Canis lupus familiaris: one gene and its partners. The protein of the gene in region 1 binds, or shares a complex with, the protein of each later gene. Links are inferred from orthologs where the notes say so. Each region holds a gene or a part of one and is shown in the gene's direction. Other genes may lie near its edges.

What was found.
Region 2: SNRPG (region 1) and LSM6 share a complex: the UniProt entries of both Homo sapiens proteins name them as parts of the U4/U6-U5 tri-snRNP complex. The link is inferred for Canis lupus familiaris from reciprocal best matches to the Homo sapiens genes SNRPG and LSM6.
Region 3: SNRPG (region 1) and GEMIN5 share a complex: the UniProt entries of both Homo sapiens proteins name them as parts of the SMN-Sm complex. The link is inferred for Canis lupus familiaris from reciprocal best matches to the Homo sapiens genes SNRPG and GEMIN5.
Region 4: SNRPG (region 1) and SNW1 share a complex: the UniProt entries of both Homo sapiens proteins name them as parts of the minor spliceosome. The link is inferred for Canis lupus familiaris from reciprocal best matches to the Homo sapiens genes SNRPG and SNW1.
Region 5: SNRPG (region 1) and CRNKL1 share a complex: the UniProt entries of both Homo sapiens proteins name them as parts of the minor spliceosome. The link is inferred for Canis lupus familiaris from reciprocal best matches to the Homo sapiens genes SNRPG and CRNKL1.
Region 6: SNRPG (region 1) and SRRM1 share a complex: the UniProt entries of both Homo sapiens proteins name them as parts of the minor spliceosome. The link is inferred for Canis lupus familiaris from reciprocal best matches to the Homo sapiens genes SNRPG and SRRM1.
Region 7: SNRPG (region 1) and SNIP1 share a complex: the UniProt entries of both Homo sapiens proteins name them as parts of the minor spliceosome. The link is inferred for Canis lupus familiaris from reciprocal best matches to the Homo sapiens genes SNRPG and SNIP1.

Annotation. Positions count from the first base shown.
Region 1 is NC_049231.1:70,134,711-70,139,526, reverse strand, and holds the start of SNRPG (small nuclear ribonucleoprotein G), read left to right. Parts: upstream 1-1,682; 5' UTR 1,683-1,734; coding exon 1,735-1,766; intron 1,767-4,816. UniProt on the Homo sapiens protein: Plays a role in pre-mRNA splicing as a core component of the spliceosomal U1, U2, U4 and U5 small nuclear ribonucleoproteins (snRNPs), the building blocks of the spliceosome.
Region 2 is NC_049236.1:44,960,855-44,964,028, forward strand, and holds part of LSM6 (U6 snRNA-associated Sm-like protein LSm6), read left to right. Parts: intron 1-2,416; coding exon 2,417-2,530; intron 2,531-3,174. UniProt on the Homo sapiens protein: Plays a role in pre-mRNA splicing as component of the U4/U6-U5 tri-snRNP complex that is involved in spliceosome assembly, and as component of the precatalytic spliceosome (spliceosome B complex).
Region 3 is NC_049225.1:55,759,278-55,764,031, forward strand, and holds the start of GEMIN5 (gem-associated protein 5), read left to right. Parts: upstream 1-1,780; 5' UTR 1,781-1,870; coding exon 1,871-2,036; intron 2,037-2,830; coding exon 2,831-2,991; intron 2,992-3,694; coding exon 3,695-3,876; intron 3,877-4,754. Other genes in the region: MRPL22 (39S ribosomal protein L22, mitochondrial), read right to left, coding at 301-343, 426-453. UniProt on the Homo sapiens protein: The SMN complex catalyzes the assembly of small nuclear ribonucleoproteins (snRNPs), the building blocks of the spliceosome, and thereby plays an important role in the splicing of cellular pre-mRNAs.
Region 4 is NC_049229.1:50,802,982-50,807,093, reverse strand, and holds part of SNW1 (SNW domain-containing protein 1), read left to right. Parts: intron 1-800; coding exon 801-917; intron 918-1,906; coding exon 1,907-2,048; intron 2,049-4,112. UniProt on the Homo sapiens protein: Involved in pre-mRNA splicing as component of the spliceosome. As a component of the minor spliceosome, involved in the splicing of U12-type introns in pre-mRNAs.
Region 5 is NC_049245.1:3,678,487-3,683,089, forward strand, and holds the start of CRNKL1 (crooked neck-like protein 1), read left to right. Parts: upstream 1-1,307; 5' UTR 1,308-1,311; coding exon 1,312-1,485; intron 1,486-3,082; coding exon 3,083-3,235; intron 3,236-4,603. UniProt on the Homo sapiens protein: Involved in pre-mRNA splicing process. As a component of the minor spliceosome, involved in the splicing of U12-type introns in pre-mRNAs.
Region 6 is NC_049223.1:74,417,297-74,421,408, reverse strand, and holds part of SRRM1 (serine/arginine repetitive matrix protein 1), read left to right. Parts: coding exon 1-35; intron 36-1,826; coding exon 1,827-2,306; intron 2,307-2,880; coding exon 2,881-3,076; intron 3,077-4,112. UniProt on the Homo sapiens protein: Part of pre- and post-splicing multiprotein mRNP complexes. As a component of the minor spliceosome, involved in the splicing of U12-type introns in pre-mRNAs. Involved in numerous pre-mRNA processing events.
Region 7 is NC_049236.1:4,998,837-5,003,458, forward strand, and holds the start of SNIP1 (smad nuclear-interacting protein 1), read left to right. Parts: upstream 1-1,587; 5' UTR 1,588-1,722; coding exon 1,723-1,949; intron 1,950-2,089; exon of another isoform or gene 2,090-2,630; coding exon of another isoform or gene 2,631-2,632; intron 2,633-3,192; coding exon 3,193-3,295; intron 3,296-4,622. Other genes in the region: DNALI1 (axonemal dynein light intermediate polypeptide 1), read right to left, coding at 278-358. UniProt on the Homo sapiens protein: Required for pre-mRNA splicing as component of the spliceosome. As a component of the minor spliceosome, involved in the splicing of U12-type introns in pre-mRNAs. Down-regulates NF-kappa-B signaling by competing with RELA for CREBBP/EP300 binding.

The DNA of each region.
Region 1 (4,816 bases):
AGGTTTCTGGGTCTTTGTTTTGCTTGGTTTTTTATATAGAAGGGCATGAAATGGATTTAAGATACGGAGTTGGGAGAGGTAGAACTTTGAACAGTTCTTGTGGTTATCTGTTTCTGGCCATCAAGATGTGGGTGTGCATTTCTTGAAATACACATCCCATCTTTCAGCTAGGAGAGAGACCCTGCAAAAACATGACAGGTGATGCTCCATTGGGTATGGGAAGCAGATCTTTCCTCTCGCCAGCTGCCATGACGGGCCCCGAGGCTATCTGCAGCAGAGCGACAGGACAATCTCACAGTGACACTCTCCTTTTTGAAGGGAAAGGGGTTTTTGATTGCACCATTTACCAGCATCCAGGAATGAACACTGAAGGAGGAGCTCTTGTCTTCTTAATTAAGAGAGTTATTAGGTACTGGCTTTGGAAAAACCTGGCTTTTATGGAACAGAATGGGATGAAAACCTAAACTCAGTATTGCTTATTTTGCCCCCAAAATAACAGAGTCCTATTCAGACAATCACTTGGTGACAGGAAGGTCAAAGGAGAAAAAGTAGGCAACTCAAGGGTGGGCTGTGATCCCTTTAAAGCAGAAGAGGGGCAACCCCCCACCCCATTACCAAATGCCACCCTTGCCCCAGGACCTTTGCAGCAAGCCGTGTTCCTGCCCCAGCTCTAGCACCTTTTCATTTTGATAAAGACCTTACTGTCTTTTTACCAACTTAGTACTTGAAATGATGATATAGCCTGCGTTGGGTGTCTCAAGTCTGTGATCTATTTTCCTAGTGGTTCAGTTTTAAAAAATAAATAAGGTTTAGTTTTTTCCTCCACTACGGCGTCTCTCGTATGCGAGCAGTGAATCTACAACTTTCTTAGGATGCTTCTCTTTGTAATGTGTAAAATAAGTGTCTGAAGACGTCGTGAAGAGTAAAAACTCGCTGTGATTCAGACGCGGGACTGGTTCATTGTAAATGGGGGAAAACAGGACAAGCTAAGGCCCTGGGACTCGGAGTCCATTAATGTAAAAATAACCGTGGGAAGGCTAAACCATCCATTTCGGGACCGTAGCTGCTTGTAAGCAGCGAGAGGTGGGAAGTTGGGCAAATGCCACCTGTAGGATTTTGAGTGCTAGAATGAGGCTCAGTCTTTTATTCGTATTTAAATAGAGCCATTCCTGGACATTAGGGAGGAACTGAATTTTGGAGAATCATCCTCTACTCAGAATCACCGAGGCCTAAGTCTTTTTTTTTTTTTTTTTTTTTTTTAAGATTTTATTTATTAACGAGAGACACAGGCAGAAGGGAGGAGCAGAGCGCCCGATGCGGGGGCACCGCAGGCTGATCGACCTTGGCAGGACCAGAGCCCAGCCCTCCCGAGCGCGTGCGCACTGGGCACGTGCGAGGACGCTAACCCGCGCAGGTCGCAAAGCGAGGGATCCGCCAGCTGCGCCGACGACTTAGAGACCCAGCCCTTACGTCAGTTTCACCAATCAGGAAACGGAATTGAGGAGGCGACCGGAAGTCCCACCCCATGTAGCCCCATGCAGGCCAATCGCTGGCAACGCAACCGGAAACTCGCGGGCGTTCGGCAAGTCCGGGGGCGCCCTCAAAGTATCGCGGGAGGGAATGTGACCTCTGCCGGCGTTTGATTGGCGGCGGGGGCCGGTGACGTCAGGCGCCAAGCGGCGGGAGCGTGAGGGAGCCGTGTGGAGGCCTCTGCGAGCTCGCCGAGTCGGCGCCATGAGCAAGGCTCACCCTCCCGAGCTGAAAAAGTGAGTACGCGGGAGGGCCGCGTGCGGGTGGCGGCGTCCGTGCGCCGGGGCCCCGCTCGGGGGGCGGCAGAGCGGCTCCGCGGGGCGCGAGGACGGGGCGGGGCGGCGGTTTCCTTGAGCTCTGTTCTCGGAATCTCCCTCCGGGGCGCCCGGGGGCCCAGCGGGGTTAGCGCCGCCCGCGGCCCAGGGCGTGACCCGGGGTCACGGGTTCGAGGCCCGCGTCGGGCTCCCTGCGTGGAGCCTGCTCCTCCCTCCGCCCGGGTCTCTGCGCCTCTCTCTCTCTCTCTGTGTCTCTCTGTCTCTCTCTCTCTCTCTGGGTCTCTCATGAATAGATGAAAATTTAAAAAAAATAAATTTTTTTTTGATCTTGTGCAGAAGTTAAGACTTGGATGTCACGTGATCTGTTAACAGCGCTGTGGGGGAACGTTCATTTTTTTCTTTTTTTTTAATCCAAGAAAAGTAAGTTTTTTTCTTTTTTCCTGCATCCAGTAAAAATCCCCTCAAAACCGGATGTTCCTACTTGCGTGGGCCCGGGCTCGGGGACGCTGGGCCGAGCGTGTGCAGGGCCTCCCGAGTGCCTCCGTCTCGTGTCCGCCGCGCAGTCCCAGGATTTCTGCACGTGGTAGCGCAGAACAGGAGAACGGGACCCGGGGGTCGCTTTGTGAAACAGCCGTCCGCCCTGTGCGTGGGTCACGTCCTGCCAGCCTCGTGGAGGAGTCAGACTGCAAGAAAAAGCCGTATTTAGTAATTGTGCTTTTTTTTTTTTTTTTTAAGATTTTTTTTATTATTTATTTGAGACACAGGCAGAGGGAGAAGCGGGCTCCATGCAGGGAGCCCGACGCAGGACTCGATCCCAGAACCTTGGGGTCACGACCTGAGCCAAAGGCAGCCGCACAACCGCTGAGCCCCACCCCCCCCCACCCCCGGGCTGCCCAGGAAATTGTGCATTTAGGGGCGCCTTGGTGGTCAGTCGGTTAAGGGTCCCACTCTTGGTTTCAGCCCAGATCCTGATCTGCTGGTGAGATCAGCCCCGGTGGGCTCTGGGCTCAGCGTGGAGTCGGCTTGGTGTGTCTCCTCCTTCTCTGCCCCCTCCCCACTGCTCGCCTGCTCGCTCGCACGCGCACTCTCTCTCTCTCTCTGGTTCTCGCTCTCAAGTAAATCTTTTAAAGAAAAAAAATAGTTTTACATTGAAATGCATATTTGTATCAAAGCCATTTTTTGTGCAAGAACTCCGTGTATTTTAGCTGGGTCTGTTGAAGTGTTCATCGTGAGCCCGACGTTAAGAAAAATACAACTTATTTTGGAGTTCTGTCTAAAACTCTCTTTCCTTGACGACTTGGCAAAACCTTAGAAGTATTCTCTGGGTTCTTCACGAACTGGTGAGATGCTAATTATTTTTAGCAAAAGAACCATCCTCTACTTGTAATCTTAGATTACCTTTTTCATTTCTTAACAGGTGCTTTTGTTTCTTAACAGATATTTGAGAATTTCACAGGATGAAACTGGTTTTAATAATTTCTCTCATCTCTCGATCTCATGTACTTTGAGACCATCCTCCAAAATGACCTTCAATTTTTTTTCTCTTTTATTTCTTCACAGATATTTTCTACTCTTTTATGCCCTCCTCCTGGTTTAGCTTAATTCAGTGGTTCTTAACTGTGGGGTAGGGAGCCTGTTTCTACTGGCAGGCCGCTAGTGAGTAGAAGCTAGAGATGCTGCTGAACATTGTACAACGCGCTGGACATCACTCAACAGAGTTACCTGGCCCCAGATGTTACTAGGCCGGGGTGGAGATACTGAGACCTAACCAAATTCTCCATCCCACTTCCTAAAAATCACTGCCATGGTGGTATTGCCAATGACTGGACTCTGCTTTAATAATTTATGACTATCTGAACAGTAAAGTGTAGACTTGTTGGCACGGCGTTCAGGCTCTTCCATCTGAAATGCAAGGTGCCAAATATGACACACACTAGTGTGGAGTATCCCATTCTACAGCCAAAATGAACCATTTGCATTTGCTCAAACTTTCTTACTATGTGACTTTAGAAAATCTTTCTGACCCTTGGTTCCTCATCTGTAAAATAGTGATAATAACAAGATCTCACTTAGGGCTAAATAAGTTCATATGTGTTCTATTTGCTGTCTTTTATATATATCCTATTAAATTATTTTATATATACTACAACGTATTTTGGGGTGTTTTTTTTTTAAGGTTTCATTTATTAGAGAGCATGTGAGGGGAGGAACAGAGGGAGAGGGACAAGCAGACTCTGCACTGAGCATGGAGCCCTACTTGAGGCTCCATCTCACAACCCAAGATCATGACCTAAGCCAAAACTCAGGTGCTCAAAGGAGGCGCCACCCAGGTGCCCCAGGCCTGTGTCTTAACTTACCTTTGAATTCTCTCATACATTAAAATTGCATGAAATTTCAGGGGTGCTTGAATGGCTCGGTTGGTTAGGTGTCCAACTCTTGGTGTCAGCTCAGATCATGATCTCATGGGTGGTGAGATGGAGCCCCCTGTGGGTCTCCACGCTCATCAAGGAGTCTGCTTGATAGTCTCTCTCTTTGCCCCTACCCCACTTTTGCAAGTGCTCTCTCAAATTTTTTTTAAAGATTTTTGTTTATTTATTTGAGAGAACATGAGCAGGGAGAGGGGTAGAGGGAGAAGCAGACTCCCTACTGAGCAGGGAGCCCTTTGTGAGACTCAATCCCAGGATCCTGGGATCATGACCTGAGCCAAAGGCAGACGCTTGAATCACTGAGTCATCCAGGTGCCATTGAACAAATCTTTAAAAATTGCATGAAATGTCATATTTTCTAGCCTGTAACTGGAAGGGGTAAAAACTCATTTGACTGCATGACTTCATGCTCCCATAACACTGCTGAGATGGGATTTCCCCATTCAGATTTTTTAAGGCTTCAAAATCTGTATTTATTTTGCTATAAAATATTTATGTGTTGAGGAATATCTTGAACACCTAAGTATGATGCTTAATATTAAAACAACACTCCTTATTGTCTCAAATATAAAATAAAATAGCTAT
Region 2 (3,174 bases), on another chromosome or scaffold:
GAGCTAGGACTCCCAACTCAAGCCTGACTTAAAAGCCTTGTTAAGAAGCCACTCTGCTGTTTATGTACTGCTTTAGTTTCTTGACATCAATAACCCAGTTTAATTTTATTTTTATAGTGGAAACTAATGGATTTATACTGAATACTGAGGTATAAAGTCTCTATGTACTGCTTCATACCCATGAACGTTTGATGAGCACAGAGGAGAGAATAGACTTTAAGAGATTTGAGCATATTCAACAGTTGGTTAGGGTGGGGACATTGTGTTCAGTATCTTCTCAGAACCCACTTCACTGAGGAGTTCAGCCGGCCTAGCCTGACTTTTTTCTCTATACTCGTTAGGGATAATATTTTTATTTGTAAAGGTAGTATATGAATTTTTCTTTTTTTTTTTTTTTTCATTTCATCTCTCTTTTCTAAAGAATTTCAAAGCAAATAATGAAGAAAAATATACAGAAGAAAGCAGTCTCCCCAAATTCTACCATCCAGAGAGAATCAGGCTAACCAGTTTGGACCTGAATCCATATAAGCATAATTTCATATAAATGGGATCAGCTCTGCATACATTCTGATTTTTTTTCTTTTTACATTAAAAAAATATATTCAGTTCTCTGACAATATAGAATGTTTAATGCTGTATAGGAGTACCTTATGGGGATGTACCACAGTTCTGTTTTTGTTTTTAACCAATTTCCTATTGATGGATGTGTAGGTGTTTACCAGTGTTTTTTTTACTATTTTAAGTAAACAGCTTTTCTCCTTTGACATGTATCCAAGTATTTCTTTAAAATAAATTCCCTAGGCTAGGATTTCTGTGTTAATGAGTGTGCCAAGTGGCCCTCCCCTCAAGGCAGATGGGCTTATTCTTCTGTGGGTTCTCACCAACCCCTTCTTTTCAGCTTTTCCATTCTAATTGGCAACAAGTGCTAGTTTCATTTTATTTGTTTTTTTTTTTTTGTTTACTAGAGAGGTTGGAGGCCTTTCACATGGCTAGTCACTGTCATGATTAAATTTTAAAAACCCAGCTCTTTGTAGCAATTTCTCTTAAATTTTGAAGAAAACTTTTTTTTTTCCTGTTCTTCCTGGTACTTTATCCCTTTAGAGACAATGACAACCTCCTGGCCTTTTTCTTAAATCAACCTTTGCAAGGAGAATACATAACTTTTTACTAGTGAATATTTCATTTTGAAATGCTTTGGGTTAACTTTCAAACATTTGCATATCATGCTTTGGAAGTTTCTTGCTCACTTAGGATTGTGGCTTAGATATAAAATAATACAGTAGGAAATAAACAGGAAAGTTATATCTTAGGCTTTCTTTTGATGGAAAATAATTGTTAGTAATTGTTCAAATCTATTCTGATTATTTGAAAGTGTACAGCTTCTAGCAGAATTCCTTCAGATTAATGTCGTGTGTTCTCATTACACAATTTGGAAAAGAAACATTTTTGTTTAGAGGCAAATGAGGGCAGAGGCAGGGAGTGAGGAGCATTTAGTGAGACTAAATGAAGCTATCGATTTGGCTAATTGTATCAAACTTGTAGTATTCTTAATTTTTTTTTTCTAGATATTACCGCTTGAAGTTAGAGACTCGGAGGCTTCTATATTTTCATCTTTTGAAAAAAATTATCAGGGCACATTGTGCACAATTTATACCATCTCAACACAATTAAAAAGATTGACTCAAACAGTTTCCCTTAAAAGCTCTTTAGAATGTTTTTGGCCATTTTTCTATATTAGTCTGGATTTGAAAATATTCTAAGTGTAACAAAACAGAAAGGGATGTGTTATAATGCAATATGGTGCCCTGTCTTCTCAAGCTGCTCTTCACTGTGAGTCACAGCTTTAAGTTGTTCCTTCAGGAGCACCTGCTATCTCCTCTTCTATTATTTTAACAGATTGTGGAGACTTCCTCTTAACCCTGGAGTACATTCATCTGCTGCAGTAGATGTTGCAAAAGAATGCAGTAAATCTGCCAGACTCATATTTTACTTAGTGGCTAAAGTAAGACATGCCCCCTGGAAGTGAGGAGCCTTGGCCAGTGGTCATTTGTTCGTGCATAATTGCCCACTCCTGATTTTAGCTTTCAAAGAATGGTATTTTATTTGGAGTGTGCTCGTTACGTTATTTTTGTGAAGGCTTTAGAACTTGCTGTGATCACACGTCCCATGAAGCAAGTGATAGTTTGATGTTTTCCCTGTTAGCAATGCATCCATGTCTGCTTTCACACTGTATGCTTCTTAGCCTTCATTCACATTGGCATAGAATGAAACTATTGAGTTTCACTTACAGCGTGAATTTTTATATTAAGGATGTGAGAGCTAACAAATAATGAGATTGTCAGCTCTAAGGTGTACCCTGTAATTTTCAACTCTTATTTGCCTTGTATATCTTCTCTTTGACTAAATCTGCCTCCAGGGGTCCTGGCTTGCCTGGATGGCTACATGAATATAGCCTTGGAGCAGACGGAAGAATATGTAAATGGACAGCTGAAGAATAAGTATGGTGATGCATTTATCCGTGGAAACAATGGTAATAATCTCTCGCTGTACAGTTGTGCAACATCCCCAAAGAAGCCTTTTTGTCTATAATCAGGATCCCCCGCAGATTTTCTACATAATTCAAAAGTTTAGTTTTCGTTTTGCTTTGTTTATTTTTAACTTCTTCTATCTCAGATCTTTACTGTGGCTAGTTTTTTTTAGGATGCTTCATAGAATTTTGGAATAGACATTCTCACCTTCCCTCTCTCCACTAACAAGGACCTGAGGGGCAGTAGGACACTGATTCAGAACCCTGAGTACAGTTTATTACATTCCCCCAGCACTGCCTCTCACATCAGAAGTTGGAGCTGTAAGAGTGGCCACTCTTGCCCCATTATCTTTGGTTTGCATCATTTTGCAGTTAGCCTGTCCTGATTGGCCTTTCTCTCTTAAATGTTCAGGTGCTTTTTGTGGAGGTTGGCCTCCTTTAGTTTGGCAAAATGACAAAATAGGAAAAATGATTCTAAAGTTGATCTGCTTCTTAACAACCAGTACATTGCTATGAATGTTATGACGACTTTTAAGTTCCTTGTTTGAAAGAATTAGCAATGAAGTCATATTTGAATTTCTCAGGGGGAAGAGGAAAACATCAAAACTGAGAAAATTATCCTTTGACTCATCCCTCCCCCGTTTTGA
Region 3 (4,754 bases), on another chromosome or scaffold:
CGAGAGGGAACTAGAAAAGTCGGACGCTCCCAACACCGTTGGGAAAAGCGTTAACCATGCTCAGAGACTGTCCAGAAAAGAGATTCACAATGTCCCTTGAATAACCGGTTATCCTGATTCCGTCGGAGCCATGCAGCACGGCGGCGGAAAGATGGAGTGACCAAGTAGACTGGCTGTCCCGTTCGTTTCCACAGCCACAGAACCTAAGGGCCGAGGGTGGCACACAGGCGCCCAGGAATTAACTGACAACCCGGTAAGGAGTCCTTGAGTCCTCTGCAACTCCGGGGTGAAAAGACTTACCCTAAGGCCAGCTTCCTCCGCAGGTTCGGCATCCATGATGCACCTGAAACATCAACACAAGCAGTCAGTTCCGATTTCCACCTCCATTCCCTCCTACGGCGCCTAAACCGCTCAGAAATCCCTACCCAAGCGCTCCAGCGTTGCCGCCGCCATCTTCCTCCCTCCCTCTACGGAAGCCTCCGAGTTCACGCACTGCCGGGACCACGCGCATGCGCAGTTCTCAGGTTGTCTGCCCCCGCGCGAGACCCGGCAGTACTCCCGCCCCGGGTGCCGTCCTGGGGACCGCGAACGCGCCGCCCGCGCCTGAGGTGTGAGCCGGACACCTTTGCCTGGGAGTGAGTGACTTTAACACAGGCCGAAGACTGAGAGTGTACGGACATTCATGGAGATCCAGAAAAATTGAGAAACCTCCCCTCACACGTGGCCAGAAAGAGTAGGACAAGAGACGGTGAACAAGCCACCTAACGTGGGTGGACCTGTTTCCTCAGCAAAACAGAAAAGCGGCACAGGCTTGTTGTGAAGATCACTAGAGATCGTGTGGAAAGCTCTTTCAAAGAACAAACAGCTCAAATATAGAGTATGATGTCCTAATCCCTATGCTAATCTCCAGGTTGATCTACAAGAGATAAATCAATACTCATATGCCGGGCAGGCGTTTCACTAAATCTGTGAATTCCTCACAGCAATCCGACCAGGCATGGGTTATCACCTTCCTGCAAGTGAGAAAGCAGATTGGGACAGGTTAAGGTATCTCCAACAACAACCGGCAAAACCACTGATTCAGCCTCGGCCTGGATGCCTCCCAAACTGGTGCCCCTACCCACATTCAAAAACATGCGTGGCCTCTCCCCGTTAGGAGAGATCTCCGGCGTCGTTCGTCCCCGTTCAGGGCTGCCACATACCCCAGGAGAGCCGGGGCGCGGAGCCCGCAGCTCCACACACATCGCCCTTCACGGAGCCGGCACCCCATCAAGTCACGCGATTCTGCTCCTCTTTGAGTCCGAAGACTCTAGGGCCAGAATTTCCTCGCGGTTGCAGAAACTAACTCTTCCGGTCTTTTTTGATTTGATTCGAACGTTTATCTTTTGGTTAACTGGCTTGTTGCAGGTCTCTGCAGAATCTCCGGAGCTAGCGAAGTACCCTGGCACAGAGCGTTCACAACTACTTGACGGAATAGTGGCTGAACTATTCAAAAATTAAAAACTTAAAACGGCTGGTCGAGGTGACTCCACTAGTCAGTCTAACGCTTTAATTAGTACTTTGCTGTGGGAGGTGAGAAAGCCTGACCCCCAGGCTGGGCTCGGCAGCACCGGGACTCCTGGCCCCGGGCGGCGGCGGCGGCAGGCAGAGCCCCGCGCGCGCGGCCGCCCCTCCCAGCCCGGCGGCGGCGGCGGCGGCGGCGGCGGCGGGAGCGGCGCTCGCGGTGCGGCCTGGGCCTCGGCGCGCGCCGTAGCGGCGGGCCCGGCGAGGCGGGGCTCCGAGCCAGCCCCGCCCCCTTCCCGGCTGCGGCGTGGGGCTGCGAACGGTCTGCTCCTGGGGTTCCTTCGTTCGTCCCTGCTGGGCCGTGATCATGGGACAGGAGCCGCGCACGCTGCCGCCCTCTCCTAACTGGTACTGCGCCCGCTGCAGCGATGCGGTGCCCGGGGGCCTCTTCGGCTTCGCAGCGCGGACCTCCGTCTTCCTTGTGCGCGTGGGCCCAAGCGCTGGCGCGATCCCTGGGACGCCCCCATTTCGAGGTAACTCCCCGCTTTGAGCCCCCGCCCTCCTGCCCTTGTTGGGTTCGTCGTAGGCGCCGAGGGAGAGTTTCTAGGCACCCTTCCCTGCAGGTGGGGAAACTGAGGCCCAGGTTGGCAGAAGGATACCGGGCTGAGTTGCGTCCGCGTCTCCAGGATTGAGTTACCATACCACGCTGTGGCTGCGCGGCCCCGCCTCCTGGCGCTCTCGCGTAGAACCGCTCGCTCCCTCGAGTTACCCCTTTATGGAGCCAGGCGTTGATAACCTCTGTGGCCTCCCTCCCCGACGCAGCGCACACTGTCCCCTGGGAGCCTCCCTGCGTTCCGGGGCTGTCTACAGCTCCAGGCCCTGAACAACGTCCTGGAAATAGATGATACCTGTTTCTTGAAGATGAATGAGTTGAGCCAGATGCTTTCAGGCTCCAAGCTAGGTTTAGATTTTGCCTTGGGACATGGCAAGCCAGTTATTTATTCTTTCCCAAATGACCTCTGGGCCACGTTTAAATAAGAATCACTTTTACATTCTTCATTTGAGCCGCTCCTCAGCCTGTGAACTGTGAACAACAAGGGATATCAGCAGCATTTTACGGCTGAAAAGAGTGAGGCTCAAGGAGATAAAATGACTGGGCTGAAGTCCCGTGGCAGAGCCAGAACCAGCACTTGGGATTTCTGATTGTGAGTGCCTGGATATTTTTGTTATGCCATGGGATAAGTGAAGTCCCACTCGTCTAACATCAGTATGATCCTCCCAGGAATCTTAGGTAGCACTCTAACCTGAAGTCCGGTTTTGCTTGAAGTCGTAGGGGAGTTGGTGGGACACACCGAAAGGGTCTCTGGCTTCACATTTTCTCATCATCCGGGTCAATACAACCTCTGCGCCACCAGCTCTGATGATGGAACTGTGAAAATCTGGGATGCGGAAACAAAAACAGTTGTGACAGAACATGCACTCCATCAGGTACTGTGGCTTACCGGTTTCTCAGACCATTATTATATATTTGCTGAGGGTTCTTTTGTTTCAAGTACGCTAACTCATCTGTGCAAGTTAACTTTTATAATAATGTCCATTATTTGGATGAGAAGCTCTATATTCTATATATAAATTGTAAGATGCCTCAAAACTTTTTTGGAAGGAGATACATATAAACCAGAGGTCAGCAAACTACTGTGCTGCCTGTTTTTGCAAATTGGTTTTATTGGAACACACCCTCAGTCATTCATTTAAGTATTGGCTGCTTGCATACTACAACAGCAGAGTAGTTGTACCAGAGACAGTATGGCACACAAAGTCTAAAATGTCTACAATCTGGTTTTTTAACATGGAAAAGACTCCTGACATAAACTGTAAATGAATGAAATTTGTTTCTAAACCAGATGATTACTTACTAAGCCTACCTTTTGAGAGAATGTAGAAAAGAAAAAGACTCAATCTTAGTAAGAACTTTCAATTAAGCTAAAGGAAGAAATGTTTTTAAATAGTTCTTTAATCCTTAGGAGCTTAAATTCTTCTACCATTTGGTTAATGTAGTCTTGGTATACAAGTGGTACTAACGGTATTTATTAAGTACATATCAATGTGCCTAGTATTATACAAGTTAAAAATGAAGTAAAAATTCAGCACTGACAAATGAAAAGCAATGTATTTTTGTTTTGTTTTAAAGCATACAATATCAGCACTGCATTGGTCTCCTCAAGTAAAGGATTTAATAGTATCTGGAGATGAAAAAGGAGTAGTTTTCTGTTACTGGCTTAACCGAAATGACAGCCAGCACCTCTTTATAGAACCCAGGACAATTTTCTGTCTTACTTGCTCACCTCATCATGAAGATTTAGTAGCCATTGGGTAAGTACTGTGTCATCTGTACTGGTAATTTGTTTTTGTTAATGAGCATATTTTGCATTTGCTTTATCTTCTCTTCCTTATTCCTCAGAGGAAGCCATGTATAGGTATTAACCATTCCCTGAGCCCATGGTATCATTTATTCCTGTGACTTCCAGGTCCTTACTGTCCTTCTCACTCTCTCTGTTTTTATTTCTTTAATTTCTACAATAGTGTACTTTCCTCATTCTTCACATCTGATTTCTTCAGCTAGCCTCCAAATGTAGGAAATACCCTCTTTCTCCCCTTTCCTCTCTCAATATTTGCTCTTGGAGATAACATTTACTCTCAGAATGTCAGAGGACTTAACTCTGTCCCTGTTCGCAGCTCTCCCTCTGGATTGGGACAGTAGTCTGGCATTGGGCGCTGCCTCCGCCTCGATCACCAGGATTATTTCACATAAACTGCCTGAATGGGCACCACCCTTTTCCTCACCGCTCCATCTACTACTCTCCCAAAGATGTCTTATCACTCTAGTTTGGATATTTGACATAAGCACTAGAATGCCAGAGGAGAAGTCTAGTTGGAGTGAATTCAAGAGACTGGGGTACAGTAGTCAAGATACACATGGAGACTTTTGTTTTTTGTACAAATGTGCATAGACATGAAGCCAGAGGAGGTACATGGTAGTAAAGGGAATATTAAATGGAAGATAATAGGGCATATTTTTATGCTGATGGAAGAGGAAAAGCTGGTTGCATGGAGAAATGGTAATAAATACAGGAGTGATATGAGAAGTCAAGAGGGATTGTATCCAGATCACAAGTAGAAAGGACAAGTGAGAATATGGAAATGGAAATAGTTGCAGGTGGGTTTGTAGATCTGGCTGGAAGAGGAAGGTG
Region 4 (4,112 bases), on another chromosome or scaffold:
AGATTAAATATAAATTATTTCTTAAAGGAAGTTACGTACTCATACCAAAACAAAAAGATTATTGGATGATCCAGTTTGGGTTGATTAACCTATATATAATTATGTGATATCTTGAGCTGATTCTGTAACACTCCCATTTATTGGGAATAAAGACTATGGACAAGAGGTCAACATTTGGGAATGTAGTCAAAAATCTGGAAAAATAAAGCTAAGCCTGAAATGTCCTGGATGTTCAAGCATATTCCTTGAGTTATTGAAAATAGGATTCAAAATTTCAGTTGAAACAGTGCACATTAAACTACCTCTATGTACTCTTAGTGTCTTGTTTCACTTTTATATGACTGTTAAATTACTTGAAAAACAGCTATCTAGCTATTTGCTAGTGATTTCCTTTTATTATAACTCATTATTAACACGAAAATATTTTGCTCAGAGCTTGGGCTCTAACGTCACACTACCCAAGTTTAAATTTTAGCTCATCTGTTATTAACTGTGTGCCCTTGGGGACATTATCTAAGCTCCCTACCTCAGTAGCAGCATCTGTGAAACGGAAACACAGTGTTAATCAGCCTTCCAGAGTCACAATGAAGGTGAAATGGGACTACAGTGTGAAGTGCTTTTAAATTGGCCTCCATAGGAAGCCCTCCATGTTAGCTGCTGCTGCTGTTATATAACTGTGAAAAAAGATATAAGAAAAAAAACTTCAGTTCAGTGGTGGTCAAAATGGACATTTAAATCTGTTTTTAAAGAATATATTGCTGCTCTTTTATGACTGGTATTTTCTGCCTGCTGTCACACAGGGGTATACAATTCCATTAGACAAACGTCTGGCTGCTGATGGAAGAGGCCTGCAGACAGTTCACATCAATGAGAATTTTGCTAAGCTGGCCGAAGCCCTCTATATTGCTGATCGGAAGGTTGGTCTGTTATAATTAAATGGTTTAATGCTCTTGATAATTTGTAAATCCATTTTTGGTTACCTAAGATATTGTTTGTTCATTCCAGTTTAATTGACATATCACTGTAAATTTTAAGCCATATAGCATGATGGTTTGATTTACCTAAGATACTGCCATTTATGCTACAGTACTCAGTACCCAGAGAGGCTCTCACCTGCAGCATGTGTGCCAGAGGTGGCAGGTGCTATTTACAGTTCTATACCTGGTCTAGCCTTTGTAGACTTACACACATACCCTACCACTGGCAGTCCAGCTTCCACATTCTAGAACGATGGTTTGCTAGGCCGATCTCATTTTGAAGGAGATTGCCGACTGCTGTTTTTAGATTTCATGATTTATTTATTTTAAATATAGATGCCTCCCAAAAGGTTGGTAGCATAGAAGGGCAAATAAACATTTTGATATTTGAATGCTATAGAAAATGATAGTTATAATATTGGTTGTCTTTTAATATTATGGCATTAATACTATTAATGTCTGACTTAGAAGTTCACATACATTATGGCATGCATCTAAAGCATAGAGAAGTATATCTCCTGTATCATAGCAAGAACCCTTATAAAAATCATTTCTTGCTAAGGCTTTATCTTGAATAGACTTGCTTGATTTTGAACACATGCTATGTTACTGATATTGAAAATTTCTTTACTGGAATCTTTTTATATTTTGGGTTGTTTCTGAGAAAGCACTAGTGAAACAGTGATTTATAAGATTGATTGGGGTCCTATACTTTCAGCCACTAAAATATTTTCCAGAGTGAAAATCTAAGTTTGCATTGTATTCCAGGCAAGGTTTCTTTAGTGGACAAGAATCTTTGTTTTAATCAGCAATAACAAATCTAAATTCTTTATAACTTCTCTTTCAAGCCAGACTTTAGTTACAGTGTTGGATGATAGCTGTAACTTACCCCTAGTCGTGTCTTATTTAACATTCAATCTTACTAACAGGCTCGTGAAGCTGTAGAAATGCGTGCTCAAGTAGAGAGAAAGATGGCACAAAAAGAAAAGGAGAAACATGAAGAGAAACTTAGAGAAATGGCCCAGAAAGCTAGAGAGAGAAGAGCTGGGATTAAAACTCATGTGGAAAAAGGTATGACATTCTCTTTACTAAGTTGAATTTACATTGTAAACAATACATACCTCATTTTAGAGAATCGCTGTTGTTTTTACTGCACATAAAATTAATACACACCTATAAAGAAAACGTAGAGGTTTCTAAGATCCTGGAATCGAGTCCTGCATCAGGCTCCCTGCAGGGAGCCTGCTTCTCCCTCTACCTATATCTCTGCCTCTGTCTCTGTGTCTCTCATGAATAAATAAATAAAATATTTTTTTAAAAAGTCTTTGGGATGCCTGGTGGCTCAGCGGTTAGGTGTCTGCCTTCAGCTCAGGGCATGATCCTGGAGTCCCGGAATCAAGTCCCACATGGGGCTCCATGCATGGAGTCTGCTTCCCCCTCTGTCTGGGCCTCTGCCTCTCTTGTGTCTCTCATGAATAAATAAATATAATCTTTTAAAAAGAAAAAGAAAATGCCAATGTTTTACAAATAACATAAAAATGAAAGAATAACTTCTATTAATGAGCTGTAGTAGTAGAAAATAAAGACTATATGTTTAAGGAAGTATGGGACTACACTAGACGTTTTTAAGGTTCAGAGTAATAATAGATTTAAAAATCACATTCAAATGATGGGCTTGATTTGTCTCTCATTTTAATTTTCTTAAAACTTAGAAAATTGAGGGGCAGCCCAGGTGGCTCAGTGGTTTAGCGCCACCTTCAGCCCAGAGCCTGGTCCTGGAGACCCTGGATTGAATCCCGCATTGGGCTCCCTCGGGCATGAAGCCTGCTTCTCCCTCTGCCTGTGTCTCTACCTCTCTCTCTCTCTCTCTCTCTCTTTCTCTCTCTCTCTCTTTCTGTGTGTGTCTCTCTCATGAGTAAAATAAATAAAATCTTTTAAAAAAAATAGAAAATTGAGATCCCCAACTGAATAATTCAGCTCCCCCACATAGTAAAATAATCCAGTTTTTCTATTTTATAGGCTAATACACCTATAATCATTAAATCTGCTAGTATTTTTCCTCTGGCTTTATTTAGTGGTCTACACTACTTTAGTAATTCATTTAAAAGAGTAATTCTAATTCAAGAAAACTGTGAGGGTTGTTTTTTTTTTTTCATTAATAAATCCTAGACTAGTACAATTATTCATTCAACTCATATTGAGCACCTACTATATATAAGGTTCTCTTTTTTTTTTTTTTTAAGATTTTATTTATTTATTTATTTATTCATGAGAGACAGAGAGAGAGGCAGAGACACAGGCAGAGGAAGAAGTAGGCTCCATAGAGGGGGAGAGAGAGAGAGAGAGAGGGAGGGAGGGAGGGAGGGAGGCAGAGACACAGGCAGAAGGAGAAGCAGGCTCCATGCAGGGTCCCCGACATGGGACTCGATCCCAGGTCTCCAGGATCAGGCCCTGGGCCAAAGGTGGCGCTAAACCGCTGAGCCACCGGAACTGCCCAAGGTTCTCTTCTAGACATAAGGATTTCTGTTGTTGGAGGTATGGCAATAAACATTCTAGTGAGTGTAGAGAGACCAAAAAAGTTAATTATCATTACTAGATGATTAATAATAATAGTATAGTAATAATTGCTATGGAGACAAATAAAACAAGAAAAAGGGACAAAAGTGCCAGGAGAGGGTCAAGATGAACCTTACTTCTGAGATGGTAACATTAGCACAAAAATTGAAGTAAGGAATTGAGCCTTATAGATATCTAGGGTTTTGAAGAGCATCCCAGATAGAAGGAACAGCAAGTGCAAGGGCCCTGAGTTGGGAGTACTCTTGGTATGTTAAAGGAAAAGCAGGGAGGCCAGTACAGCCAGATTGGAGCAAGAAAGCTAAGTAGTAGGAGACAAGGTATCAAAATAGAGTAAATAGGAAAGGTAGTAGCCAGATCATGTGTGGTCTTTTAGCCATTTAAGGAGGTGGCTTTTATTTCAAATAACAAGGGAAGAAGTTGAAGAGTTAAGCAGAACAACATGATCTACCATACATGAGCAGGCTGTGAAGTGGGCATGTGGGGGAGTAGGGAAGTCATTTGGAGGGCTAGTGCAGTAATCCAGATGAGAGATGATAATAAGAGAGGCAGGGAAAACAC
Region 5 (4,603 bases), on another chromosome or scaffold:
ATTTACGGAGATAGATTTAAATACATAAAATACACACATATATTTATACTTATGAATATTTTTTCTGAATACCAAAAGAGCCTTGCAATTGTAAAAATTTCTTAACCAGTGAGCTATCACACCACGAAGACAGGGAGGAAGCCCAAATGCATATAACAAGTGAAAGAAACCACTCTAAAAAAGCTACATACCGATGCAAATGACACAACATTCTGAAAAAAAGCAGCCCTAAAAATTTTTTAAAATCAGTGGTTATAGGAGGCAAAAGGAGAAGGAGGAATAAATAGATGGAGCACAAAGGATTTTTAGGATGGAAAAACTATTCTTTACCATTCTATGATGGTAGATACAGGTCACTAAATTCCATAGAATGTGAACCCTAATGTTAACTTGTGAATAATGAGCTGTCAGTGTAGGTTCATCAATTACAAAAATGTACCACTCTCACGGGGAATATCGATTGTGGGGGCAAACGGGACGGCAGGTGTGAGAAACAGAAATTCTCTGTACCTTCATTCAACTTTTCTGTGAACTTAAAACTGCTATTTTAAAAAGTCTTTTTAAAAAAAATTCTCTTCACTATTTGCTTGCATAAAATTAGCTTTTTCTTTTGAAGATAGGTCAAGAATTACACCAGCTAACATTTACGGAGCACTTTACATAGATTTTCTCCTTAATGATGATAAAATAGATACTATTCTTTTTGTCTCACAGCTAAGCACCATGGGGCTAAGAGAATTGATGTAATTAAGGCACATTTACAAAAAATTAAGCATCTGTTTATCTGACCACAAGGATGGTTTATTTGCTAGTACTTTGATGATTTATTTTCATTTTTTTCTATTATTTGGCTTTAAGATGCCTTCAGTTACTTCACTTGTGCACAACTGTCCAGAAAAAAAAAAAAAAAAAAAAGAGACCTCCAAGACTACAAAACCTAGAACGCAACGCGGCGCCAGGCCACCTAGGAACGCAGCAGCTCGCCCCTTGGCATGCTGGGAAAGGAAGTTTTCTGGCCTACCTCTCTGCCCCGACCCCAAGCCTCCGGATCGGAGCTTTGTTCCTTTTGCCCTTCCCCGGAGCCACGGTTCGACCGACCCACCCATCCTCGCAAGTCCTCCCAGTTCCGGAGACTGACCTGGGGATGCGCCCCTGGCGCCCCGGACTCCGTCCCCGCGCCCCTGTCGGGCGAGCCAGCACTACCCACCTCTCCCGCAACTCCGAGACACTGCTCTCCGAGGAGGACGCTCAGCCCGGTTACCACAGAAACGAAGTTGCCGGCGTCACGGCGCGTGCGTGAAGTCAAAGGTCATGCCAGCAACTTCCGCTTCCTGTTTTGGGATCTCGCTTGTTGTCGGAAATCCCTGGGATTCTGTCCAGCCCTCGGGGTCTATTTCTGGGGTCCAGGTTGAGTCGCGGTCTTGTGCTGCAGCCATGGCGGCCTCCACCGCTGCCGGGAAGCAGAGGATTCCCAAAGTGGCGAAGGTAGGAGACCGCGAAGGGCTTTGTGGGAGGAGGCCCCGGAGAGGGGCTTGCCCCAGCCTCCTCGGGGCCCGCGGCGGAAGACTGCCTAGAGCCATCCTACCCCGTGTGGATCGAGTGGAAGGGTTGGCAGGCGGTGGGGCGCAGGCTTTTGTCGCCCCGGAGACGCTCCCTTCCCACGCCGCGTTGGCGCGGCCTTCTTTCTAGGGCGTGTTTTTGCGGAGGGAGGAGTGGGGTCATTCGGCAGGATTTAGGCAGCGCGCTAGGCGCTGGGGAAGGAACTACGACCTAACGCGGGCAATGTGCCGTTTTCACAAATGACACGAGCCAATGTGAAATTGCCACCTTGCCGAATACGAGTGAGGCGGCGTAGGATATGCCGCGGAGTGATGGGGTTTGTATGAGGGGTATGCCGAGTCCGCTTTCCTGAGGAAGTGATGTTTAAGCCGACACCTGGTGGCTGACTAGGAGTTAGGCCCCCTGAGCCTGGAAAGAATGAGAGGGCATGGGTTGTGTAGTGGCATTAATTTAATTAAACAGTAAGTTTGGTATTATATGATAGTTCCATCGGTGACTGATACTCACTGAGTGCTTAATGTGTGACGGGCTTTACCCTGAACCTTTACGGACGCCCTCACTCCAGTCTGTCTCTCCAGCCCAGGTGGCTCTCTTGAGCTTGTCCTTTACATATCCGTTTAAGTCACATAGCACAGCATCTGTGACTGCATATGAGCTGTAGTCATTATTATCAAAGTCATTCCACACATGGCATTAAACAATATTTCTTATAATCCAATTCCATAAAATGTTACAGGGCACCAGTGGTCCAACAGATATACAGTGTGAGCCACATTATGTAATTTTAAGTTTTCCTGTAGCTACATTAAATAGTCAAAACAGGTGACATTAATTTTAACTGTATATTTTCTTTAATCCATTGTATCCAATATATTGCTAATTGAACATGTAATCAACATAGGAAATCTAATCAGGCAGTTTACTGGCTTATTTCACACTATGTCTTCAAAATCTAGTGTATATTTTACCCTTACAGTCCATCTCTATTTGGGCTCACTGCATTAGCTCATGACTACTATGTTGGACAGCACAGCTCTAAGACTTCAAGAAACTTATGGTCTGTCTAATTATGGGAATTTATTGAACTGTCTTTGATTTGAAATGCCATGAAAACAACCAAACACAGTTTGAGGCATTATCATCCACATGGGGCATAATTGAAAAGTTCTGTAAATAGAGAGTGTAACACTAGGAAAGATACAGCACACATCTTCATAAAACACCTCTAGTGAGAATTTACCTGAGCAGCCTCAAGGTTTATTATTATTCTAATCTAAAAGAGAACACTTGCTATTTTTGCTACCTTTTCTCTGAAGACTTACCTATGGCTTTGTAATAAATACCATGCATAAGAAAGAAAACTTTGTTTTCTGTTTAATTTCATAGAGAAATGAAAACCTGTCATATGAAGAGGGCATCTTGTAATAATACAAAGTTCCCATCCTAAAAAAATGTCTTTTTGCTTCCTAAACTTTGTGTGATGAGCATCTACTAAAAATGAGAATATCTTCTATCTTAAAAGGTGAAAAACAAAGCCCCAGCTGAGGTACAGATAACTGCTGAGCAACTCTTAAGAGAAGCTAAAGAAAGAGAACTTGAGCTTCTTCCTCCTCCACCTCAACAGAAGATCACAGATGAAGAAGAATTAAATGATTACAAACTAAGAAAAAGGAAGGTCAGTCAGGGTGATATTTTCAGTCTATTAATAACATTGTTATTACTTTATAGGTCAAAGTTTGCAGAATTCCTCATTGGTTAGAGAGGCTATAAGAATAGGTTAGTGTTTCTAGCCACATGAGTAATGTAACTCCTGGTTACCAAATAATTGCATTTTGCTGAACTTTACAAAATATGCCATGAATTGTCTTTTAAAGTATAAAGAGATTCAGTCCACCAGAGACATAATTTTTGGTGCAGAATCAAAGATGGAAGTTTAACAAGTGGAACATCTGACAGTTGGAAGGGGCTGGTCTTAACCAAGGTCACATTATGTACTCTCTCTGTACATTTTATGGTAAGAATTGAGACCTGGAAAAGAGCTGAGAGAGGACTTGGATTCTTCACCCTAGAATCCTCACTCTAGGGTAATTTTTTTTTTTTTTTTTTCTTTAAAGATTTTATTGGGCAGCCTGGGTGGCTCAGCAGTTTAGCACTGCCTTCAGCCCAGGGCATGATCCTGGAGACCCAGGATTGAGTCCCGCATTGGGCTCCCTGCATGGAGCCTCCTTCTCCCTCTGTCTGTGCCTCTGCCTCCCTCTCTGTCTCTCCCTCTCTCTCTCTCTCTCTCATGAATAAATAAATAAAATCTTTAAAAAAAAAGATTTTATTTATTTGTTTGTTTCAAGAGACAAAGAGCGTGTAAGCAGGGGGAGGGGCAGAGGGAGAGAGAGAATCTTAAGCAGGCTCTAGGCTCAGTGTGGAAACCCACACAGGGCTTGTATTTATGACCCTGAAGTCATGACCTGAGCCAAATTCAAGAGTCTGCTGCTTAACCACCTGAGCCGCTCAGGCACCTGTAGGATAATTTTAAACCACTAAGCCTGTTTTATCTACTTATTAGTGATGTTCAAAGAGTGATGTATGAAATTCTGAGACATTACTGAGAGGACTAGTAGAAATAGTCAAGAACATTTCCATGCTAGGAAAAAGTATAAAGTATATATTTTTTTTTCAGGTTTTTATTTAAAAAGGTATAAAGTATATTAAAGTGTCAGTTAGCTATTAGCAAGAAGAGAAAATACCAACAATTCTGCTAATAATTCTTTATATCTAAAATTTTTCTCTTCATGTGTAAGACTTTAAAGAAACACCTGAGGGGCAGCCCGGGTGGCTCAGCAGTTTAGCACCACCTTTGGCCCAGGGCGTGAGCCTGGAGACCTGGGATCAAGTCCCACATCGGGCTCCCTGCACGGAGCCTGCTTCTCCGTCTGCCTGTGTCTCTGCCTCTCTCTCTGTCTGTCTTTCATGAATAAATAAATAAAAATCTTTTAAAACAAAAGAAAAGAAACACCTGAGATTGTAACCTTCATTCACGAGTTTCTTA
Region 6 (4,112 bases), on another chromosome or scaffold:
AGGCGCAGGTCTCCCACGCCACCACCACGACGAAGGTATTTTATCAGATAAGTGCTAGTTGGAACTAATTGAAGCAACTTTCTTTATGATTAGAATATCTTAGAGTGGCATTGTTCAGCCATTTACAGAATACCACATATGATGTGATTCTGTTAATATGTAAAGTTAGACCACCTAAATCAAAGAGTTAAAAGCAGATTAGTAGTGCCTAGGGTCAGGTGGGAATAGGGAGAGTTGTTACAGTTACGTGACTGAAAATACTTAAAACAGTTGAAATGTACACTTTAAAATGGGTAAATTTTATGGTATGTGAATCACATGTCAACAAAGATGTTAAATTTAAAGGTGAAGTCATTCTATTTAGTGATTATAAAGGGAAAAATACTAACTTTACAGTGGAGAATTCCAGCAGATACCTCCTTAACTAAGGAATCATTTAACAGTCGAGAGTACATATTAGCATTATGTAATTCTTGATACCTCCATAGTATTCTTACCAATTATATAGAACCCCAGTCTGATTTTTTAGGAAATACCAGACAAACCCAAATTGAAGGTTATTCTACAAGGTAACTGACTAGTACTCTTTAAAAATGATAATCCTGAAAGACAAAGGAATAGTCTCGTATTGGCAGGAACCAAGGACACATGATAACTAAATATAATTCTGATTTTTGGAATGTGGATCAGAAGAGAAACATTAGTGCAAAACCAGGCTTGTATTTTAGTTAATACTAAATTAGTGCTGTGGCTAATTTCATAGTTTTGATCATTTTTGTTAATCTGTAGTCCTTTAGATGATCTTGCTTAGTAGGTGATGGTATTCCCATTTTTCAGGTGAGGAAATAGAGGTGCACACTACCTCATTGACCAAAAAGTAGCCTGTTGTAAAGCTGATTCTAGGCAGTAAAATATTTTGAGCTCAAGGTTGAACATTTCAGGAACAAATTAGGCAGTTGGAACTGAATGTCATATTCAGGTCTAATTTCTAAAGGCACATTAGGATTACACAAGAATCAAGCATTAAGTAAATCGAAGGTCAGCTTGGACTTCTGTCGGGATGCATTCTGCCTAGAAGATAGACTTCCACTGAAAAGTGGCTTTCTTTGAGACACAAAATCCAAGTCTCTCCTTGGCAGGGTGGGGTAGGTATAGATAGATCTTTTAAAATGTATGCAAGTGAACTTATAGTCCAAATGCCAGTTCAAGAGAGCACCACATCGGAGAGCTCTTTTTTTAAAAAAGATTTTTCTTACTTGAGAGAGCACGAGTGGGGGTAGAGGAGAGAGGCAGCAGGGGAAAGAGAAGCAGACTCCCCCCCCACTGAGCAGGGAGCCCCACATTGGGCTCAATCCAAGACCCCAAGATCATGACCTGAGCTAAAGGCAGAATGCTTATTAACCAACTAAGCACCCAGGTGCCCCCAGGAGAGCTCTTTAAAGGACAGACTTCCTAAGTTTCCTGTAATAGAGTCCTGCTAATGTAGCCACCTAGCTCTTACATAATAATGGGTGTTCACAGTTTATGCAAGATTCTCTTCTCAAAAAAACTCATTAAATTGGTTCCATATGGATTATATTAAGTGACTTTTGACAAACTAGAATTCAGTCTGGAAACTTCAGATTTCTCCATTATGCAGAATGTCCTGTTTCTTAGTCATCTAGGATAAACAAATCCACTAAATGATTTCTTTTCCTTTACATGAGGATAAAGGCATAGCATTTCCAGTTAAAATTCTGTCTTTGCCTGGTGCTTAACACAGTGTTGCCATAACTGCTGGTTAGGTTTCTGTGCATTCTGTTGCCTTATTCTTTTGGACCTTAATGGTGTTTTTTTCCTAGAACTCCTTCTCCTCCCCCCCGCCGGCGCTCACCGTCCCCAAGAAGATACTCTCCTCCGATACAGAGGAGATACTCTCCTTCTCCACCTCCAAAGAGAAGAACGGCTTCTCCCCCTCCCCCTCCTAAACGAAGGGCATCACCATCTCCACCACCAAAGCGTCGGGTCTCCCATTCTCCACCTCCCAAACAAAGAAGCTCCCCAGTCACCAAGAGACGTTCGCCTTCATTATCATCAAAGCATAGGAAAGGGTCTTCCCCGAGCCGGTCTACCCGGGAGCCCCGGTCACCACAACCAAACAAAAGGCATTCGCCCTCACCACGGCCTCGAGCTCCTCAGACCTCCTCAAGTCCTCCACCTGTTCGAAGAGGAGCATCATCATCACCCCAAAGAAGGCAGTCCCCTTCTCCAAGTACTAGGCCCATTAGGAGAGTCTCCAGGACTCCGGAACCCAAAAAGACAAAAAAGTAAAAATATTTTATGCTTTTTTTGGTTAGGAACACTAACTTGCATAGCTCTTTATGTTTGGAAGCTTTTTTCCCCCCTTTACTGAGAAATTACAGAAAAGAATAAGCTGGGAATACAGGCTTTTAAGGCAGCTTAAAGGTACTATACACAGATCCATTTTCTCTTTTCAGGATAGTTCCTCATGGGACAAACTAAATGCCATAGGACTCCATATTTGGTTCCTAGGGGTATCAGGGGAATGTGCTTCCAAAACTAAACTCTGAAATAATGCATAGAACATTTCTTGGATGTCTGTGTAAGACTGGTAAAAGTTGTCTGAAGTACAAGGAACTGGCATTATTAATTTCATCTAGGAAAAATTGTTAACAGAATGGACAGAGGATTATGGGGCTTAAACTGCTAAGAGATTTAGACCATACAAATTTGATATGTGTGTTAGTAGAATCAACTAGCAAACTAATAGTAAAATGTAAAGTTTGTGACTTGGTTATATAATGGTGGTTGGTTATTTTCTCTTAGGAAAGACCTTTGCTCTTGGATACTAAATGTTTTGTTCTTTCCCTCTGTTTCTAGGGCTGCCTCACCAAGCCCTCAGTCTGTAAGGAGGGTTTCGTCCTCTCGATCTGTCTCAGGATCTCCTGAGCCAGCAGCTAAAAAACCCCCAGCACCTCAATCCCCTGTCCAGTCTCAGTCCCCCTCTACCAACTGGTCACCAGCGGTACCGGTCAAAAAGGCTAAAAGCCCAACACCAAGCCCATCTCCGGCAAGGGTATGTGTTTGCCCTATTTTGGGGTTTATAATTGTATGTGGTCACTGGGAAGCAAAGACAAGTTATTACTTATTTGCGACCCAGGGCAGCATTATTTTCTGTAGTTCAGCTGGACTTCAGGGAAGTATGAAATTAAGTGGTGGTGGTTACACCACAGTCCATGCTTCATATTCCACCCACCCACTAATTGACACCATGTCTGATACTTTTAAATTCTCTCATCTTAGTGGTTAAAATTGGGCTATATTGAAAATCTAGAATAACAAAAGAGTTACCCATGAATCTATTATATAGTGGAAAATAGCTTAGTATTTTTTGTTGTTTCTATAGCATTTGACATACTGGATACTGAAGATCACAAAATCAATAAAACTTTCAAAATTAGATCATGTGTGTTAGTATTATTCCACGTTTATGAAGGAAAAAATATTACAAAAGAAGTACCAAATGTTCATAGTGATTATATGTGAGAAGGGGAAGTGATGAGTAATCTTAATTTTTCTTTACGTGTAGTGCCCTTTTTCTATTTCTAATATATTAGAAATAATATATTTCTATAAAAAATGAACCTGGCAACCTGTAAAATACTAGCTGAAGTGGAAAGTACAGTATTGTCTGGTTTAGTCTTAACCTCTGGCAAGTTGCATAAATAAGGGACACCTGGTGGCTCAGCGGTTGAGCACCTGCCTTCGGCCCAGGGTGTGCTTCCAGAGTCCAGGGAGCGAGTCCCACATCGGGCTCCCGGCATGGAGCCTGCTTCTCCCTCTGCCTGTGTCTCTGCCTCTCTCTGTGTGTCTCTCTCATGAATAAATAAATAAAATCTTTAATTAAAAAAAAAGTTGCATAAATAAGAATAACACTTGTTTTTACCTTGTGAAGTTTAAATGTCATTGGGATATTAAAGTATTGGAGTTTAAACTATATCATCCCCTCTATGAATCATTAATCTGATCTTGAATAGGTTTCTTTATTGTATGAAGTCAGTAGTTAGATGTCCATGTCAGCAGTCGGGTTGCCTGAATTACTTTACAAAGTA
Region 7 (4,622 bases), on another chromosome or scaffold:
TCTCTTCTCAGCATAAGTTAGGTCTCAGCTGAAGGTGGAGAGAGCCTGCGGTCCCACCCCCGGCCCAAGGTCTGTATCTCCTGGAACCGCTGCTGCAGGCGCAGGTGCTCAGCGGCCTGGGGATGGAGCGAGCGCGACCGGACCAGTGTGCAGGACAGCGAGCCCCATGCACCCCGGGGCTTGCTTCCTCACCCTACACCAGCCCTCCGGGTGCCCCCCGGGTGCCCCCCGCCCCTCGGAGCCTCCGGGCTCCCCCGCCCCCCAGGCCCGCCCTGACCTTGGGGCTCCGCTTCTCCGTGTTCCGGCTCACCAGCACCGGGGTGTCGTACTTGAGCAGAGAGTCCGCAGGGGGGATCATGGCGGCGACGCGGGTTCGAGTCCGGCGGCCGCCCCTCCAGCGTGCTCCTTGTTTGCCGTCACCATGGAAACCCCCCGGCCCCCCCGCCGCGCCTCGTGGCCTGGGCGGGGCTTCGGATGGGGCGGGGCCAGCAGCGCAGAGTTCCCGCTCAGCCTCGCCAGGAATTCTCCTCCCGCTCGGTTGATCGCGGTTCCTGCCCCGCGGGTCGCCTTGATGCTCCTGGAAAACCACGCCAAACGGGAACGGAGTCCCCACGCTGCGGCTCGCAGGCCATTGCAACGAGGCGCACGGTCACCTTCGCTGGCCGCCAACTTTGTCACCTGCAGAATGGGAGCCCTGTGACTCCTCGGTGGAGGCTTGGGAATCTGCAGATTCCCAGAGGGAGGCACCTGCAGCTCCCCGGTTTCTTTTTTTTTTTTAATTTTATTTATTCATGAGAGAGAGAGAGAGAGGCAGGGACACAGGCAGAGGGAGAAGCAGGCTCCACGCAGGGAGCCCGACGTGGGACTTGATCCGGGGTCTCCAGGGTCACGCCCTGGGTCAAAGGCAGGCGCTAACCGCTGAGCCACCCGGGGATTCCCGGAGCTCCCTGGTTTTCTTTTTAAAAATTAAAAATAATTTTTTTGCTCCCCAGTTTTAAAAAGTATTTGTGTTGGGGCGAGGGGCACCTGGCTGGTTCAGTCAGTAGAGGGTGAGACGTCGATATGGGGGTGGGGAGTTCCAGCCCCACCGCTGGCTCTAGAAAGGACTTGAAAATAAAAAGTAAAAAAAAATAAATAAAAAAAAGTAAAAAAGTAAATAAATTAAGAATTCATTTTTTAAATTAAATGGAGAAGTGACAACATAACACGAAGCTCAGGACTAGCAGGGAAGATAGTAATGACTTGCCCCCACCCCCCCGGGGGGCTGTCAGTGATTGCATTTCCTTCTCTGTTTCCTCTTTTTTTTTAAATATTTTGTTTATTTATGAGAGACACAGGCAGAGGGAGAAGCAGGCTCCACGCAGGGAGCCCGACGTGGGACTCGATCCCGAATCTCCAGGATCCAGCCCCGGGCTGCAGGCGGCGCTAAACAACCGCTGAGCCACCCGGGCTGCCCAGAAGCGTCTCTTTGACGTTTAAAACTCCCGCCACCCGAGCGGCTCCCGACAGCCCCTCCCGCTTGCAGGGTCGTGGTCACGTGCTTCGCTCGCCGCCGCAAGGGTTTCTGGGAGAGCGCGCACCCGGAAGCGGAAGTGCGGGGGGTCAAGCCCGTCGTTTCCTTTAGCGAGAGGAGCGCAACGGATCTCTCTCTCTCTCTTTTTTTTTTTTTGTTTGTTTTGTTTTGTTTCCCTCCCCCGCTTCGCTCTCTGCTCGTATCTCAGCATGAAGGAGGTAAAGAGCGAGCGGGAGCGGGGCACCCGGCGGAGGCACCGCGACGGGGACGTGGTGGCGGCGGCGATGGTGGTGAAGGTGAAGCAGGAGCGCCTGAGCCCGGAAGCCGCGCCGCCCGCCCACCGCCGCCCCGAGTCCTCGGGCGGGAGCGCGTCCCCGCCGGCCGGCGACCCGGGCCGCCCTGGGCACCGCGGGAGCCGAGCCCGAGGAGGCAGCCGGTAAGTGGGGGAGGCGCCCGGGATGGGGACTTGGAGGAGGGGCGGGGCTGGCGTCAGAGCCCCGTTTTGGGAGCCGAGCGCGGCTGCTCGGGTTTCATGTCAAAGGGGGTGGGGGGGGGGTGAGCCGGTGGCGCTGTGCGGGAGAGCGTTTACGGCGGCCCCTGCCTGATGCGCAGGATCCCGCCCCCCTCATCCCTGCGCCCCGCATCTGCCCGGACACCGCGCATATGGACCCGAAATAAAGGCTCCTCCGCATCTGCCCGCACATGGGCTGCCGGCCTACTAGGCCTTCCAGACGTCTGCCCCAGAAGCCCTCCGCCTTGGCAGCCCAGGCGATCCACCTGGTAGGCAGTTGGAAGAAAAACCATCTCTTGCTGGACTGCTCCGTGTATTCCTTCGACTTAAGTTGTGAGCGCGTTGCTAAAGGAAGAAAGACAGCCGTCGCTCCTGGGGCCTCGTGCGGCCTTTGCCCCGGCGAAATGGAATGGGTGTGCTCCCGCCTCGAGACAGAGTAACAAGGCCGATAAAATAGTTTCCGTATGTAACAAGTATTAAGAAGCGGCTCCAACCGGAGGTGTGAGAGCGAGCCTTGGAAGGAAGCGAGAGAAGGAAGGCCCCTCTGAAAACGTGCGGTTTGCGTTGAGACCCGAACGATAAGGATTGTCCAGGCTGGGGAAACCCATGTGCGCAAAGAAGCTGAAGCCCGGTTAATGTGATTGTTCTAGAAGTGGGAGTGCGGGGTGGGGGTGGAGAGGGGTCGTTTAGGGATCAACGGAGGGGAGAGAGGCGATCTAGAGCCGGAGGACTGACTCGCTGTCGGATTGACGTGGTTGTTGCCGGAGAGTGTCGGGAGCTATTGCTGGGGAAAGGAAAGGGGAGTCACGGGGGGTTCTCTGGGTTTTTTGGGCTTGAGAAGCAGGGTGGATGGTGATACCCGTTACTGAGATGGCAGAGGCTGAGGGAGGAAAGGGCTTTGAGGGGTTGGGAAGCAAGAGTCAGGCTCTCAGAATGCTCCAGAGGCAGCTCTGTGTGTGTGTGTGTGGGGGGGGGGGGGGGTCTGAAGCTCAAGGAGGGTGTCCCGGGCTGGAGAGCGGAGCTCCCCGCCTTCCTTGGTGTGAAAAGCAGAGCCCTTCACTGGATGTGCTGTTTGTATTGTTAGTAAGTAAGCCTGACACTTGACTGTGAGTGTATATGGGGGAAGGGAAATTGAGATAAAATCCTGTGTGTACCCTGCTCCAAAAAGGTCCCCAGCCAAGAGGAAAAACAAGTCCTCAGGGAGAAGAAGCAAGTCTCCTCGGAGTAAGAGAAGCCGAAGCCCTCACCACTCGACAGTCAAAGTGAAGCAGGTAAGCGGACCGAGATGTTTTGATACCAGGTCCAAATCTAGAATCTCTTACCGTCCTGACAAATACATGATCCTAGGTGTTTACCTTTATCCGTAGCGGGTGTTTCTAGAAACTGGGTTGTTGTTGTTTTTCTACTTGTTTTGTGACACCTTTTTAAAAAAATTTTGAGAATTGTTGATTTACACACTCAGCTGTTTTAAAAAATAAAAAATACAGAGGTACGTTCTTCACTGTGTTTTTCCCACTGGTAGCATCTTACAGAATTCCAGTGCAGTATCACCGGGAGGGTATTGACATCGTGACAGTTAAGATGCGAACATTTCCATCCCCACAAGGACCCATTGGGTTGTCCTTGGATAGTCTCACCCGCCTGTCTCTCATCCTTAACCCCTCAAGTCCTGGCAACTTCTAATCTGCTCTCTGTCTCTATAACGGTTGTCACTTCAAGAACATTATGTAAATGGAATCATGTAAATGGAATCATCCGTCTAACCTTTAGGGATTGGCTTTTTTCACTCAGCACATTTCTTTGGAGATTCATTCAGCTTGTCTTTGTCAGTATTTGATTCCTTTTTTATTGCTGAGTGATACTCAGTGGTGTGGTTTTAACCCTTTACCCATTAAAGGACAAGTGAGTTGTTACCAGTTTTTGGTTATTGTGTATATAAGGTTGCTGTGTAACATTTGTATACAGGTTTTTGTGTGAACACGTCTTCAGTTTTCTGGGATAAGTGCCCAGGTGTGCCATTGTTAAATGGCATGGTGATTGCATGCCAGACTGTGTTCCAGGAGGGCTGTGTTGGTTTTCTAGGGCTTCCATAACCAAATACCACAGACTGGATACCTTAAACAACAAAAATTAATTTTCTCACAATTCTGGAGGCTAAAGTCCAAGGTCAAGGTGTTAGGAGGTTTTGTTTCTCCTGACGCCTCTTTCCTTGGTTTTCGAATGGCTACCTTCTTGGCTGGGTCCTCACATGGCCTCTCCTCTGTGGGCTTGCATCCCTGGTGTCTCTTCCTCTTCAGATAAGGACACCAGTCATATTGGATTAGGGCTTTGCTGTCAACTTAATCATGTCTTTAAAGACCTTATCTCAAAAAAAGAAAAAAAAAAAAGAAACCAAAAACGGATGCCTGGCTGTCTCCGTTGGTAGAGCAGTTGGCTCTTAATCCTTAATCAGGGTTGTGAGTTCAAGCCCCACATTGGGCATGGCACCTACTTTAAAAACCAAACGCACCCCCCCCCCCAAATGGTTACATTCTGAGGATGGGAGTTGGAACCTCGACATATGAATGGGGGGAAGGGGCGTGATTCAGTCCATGACAG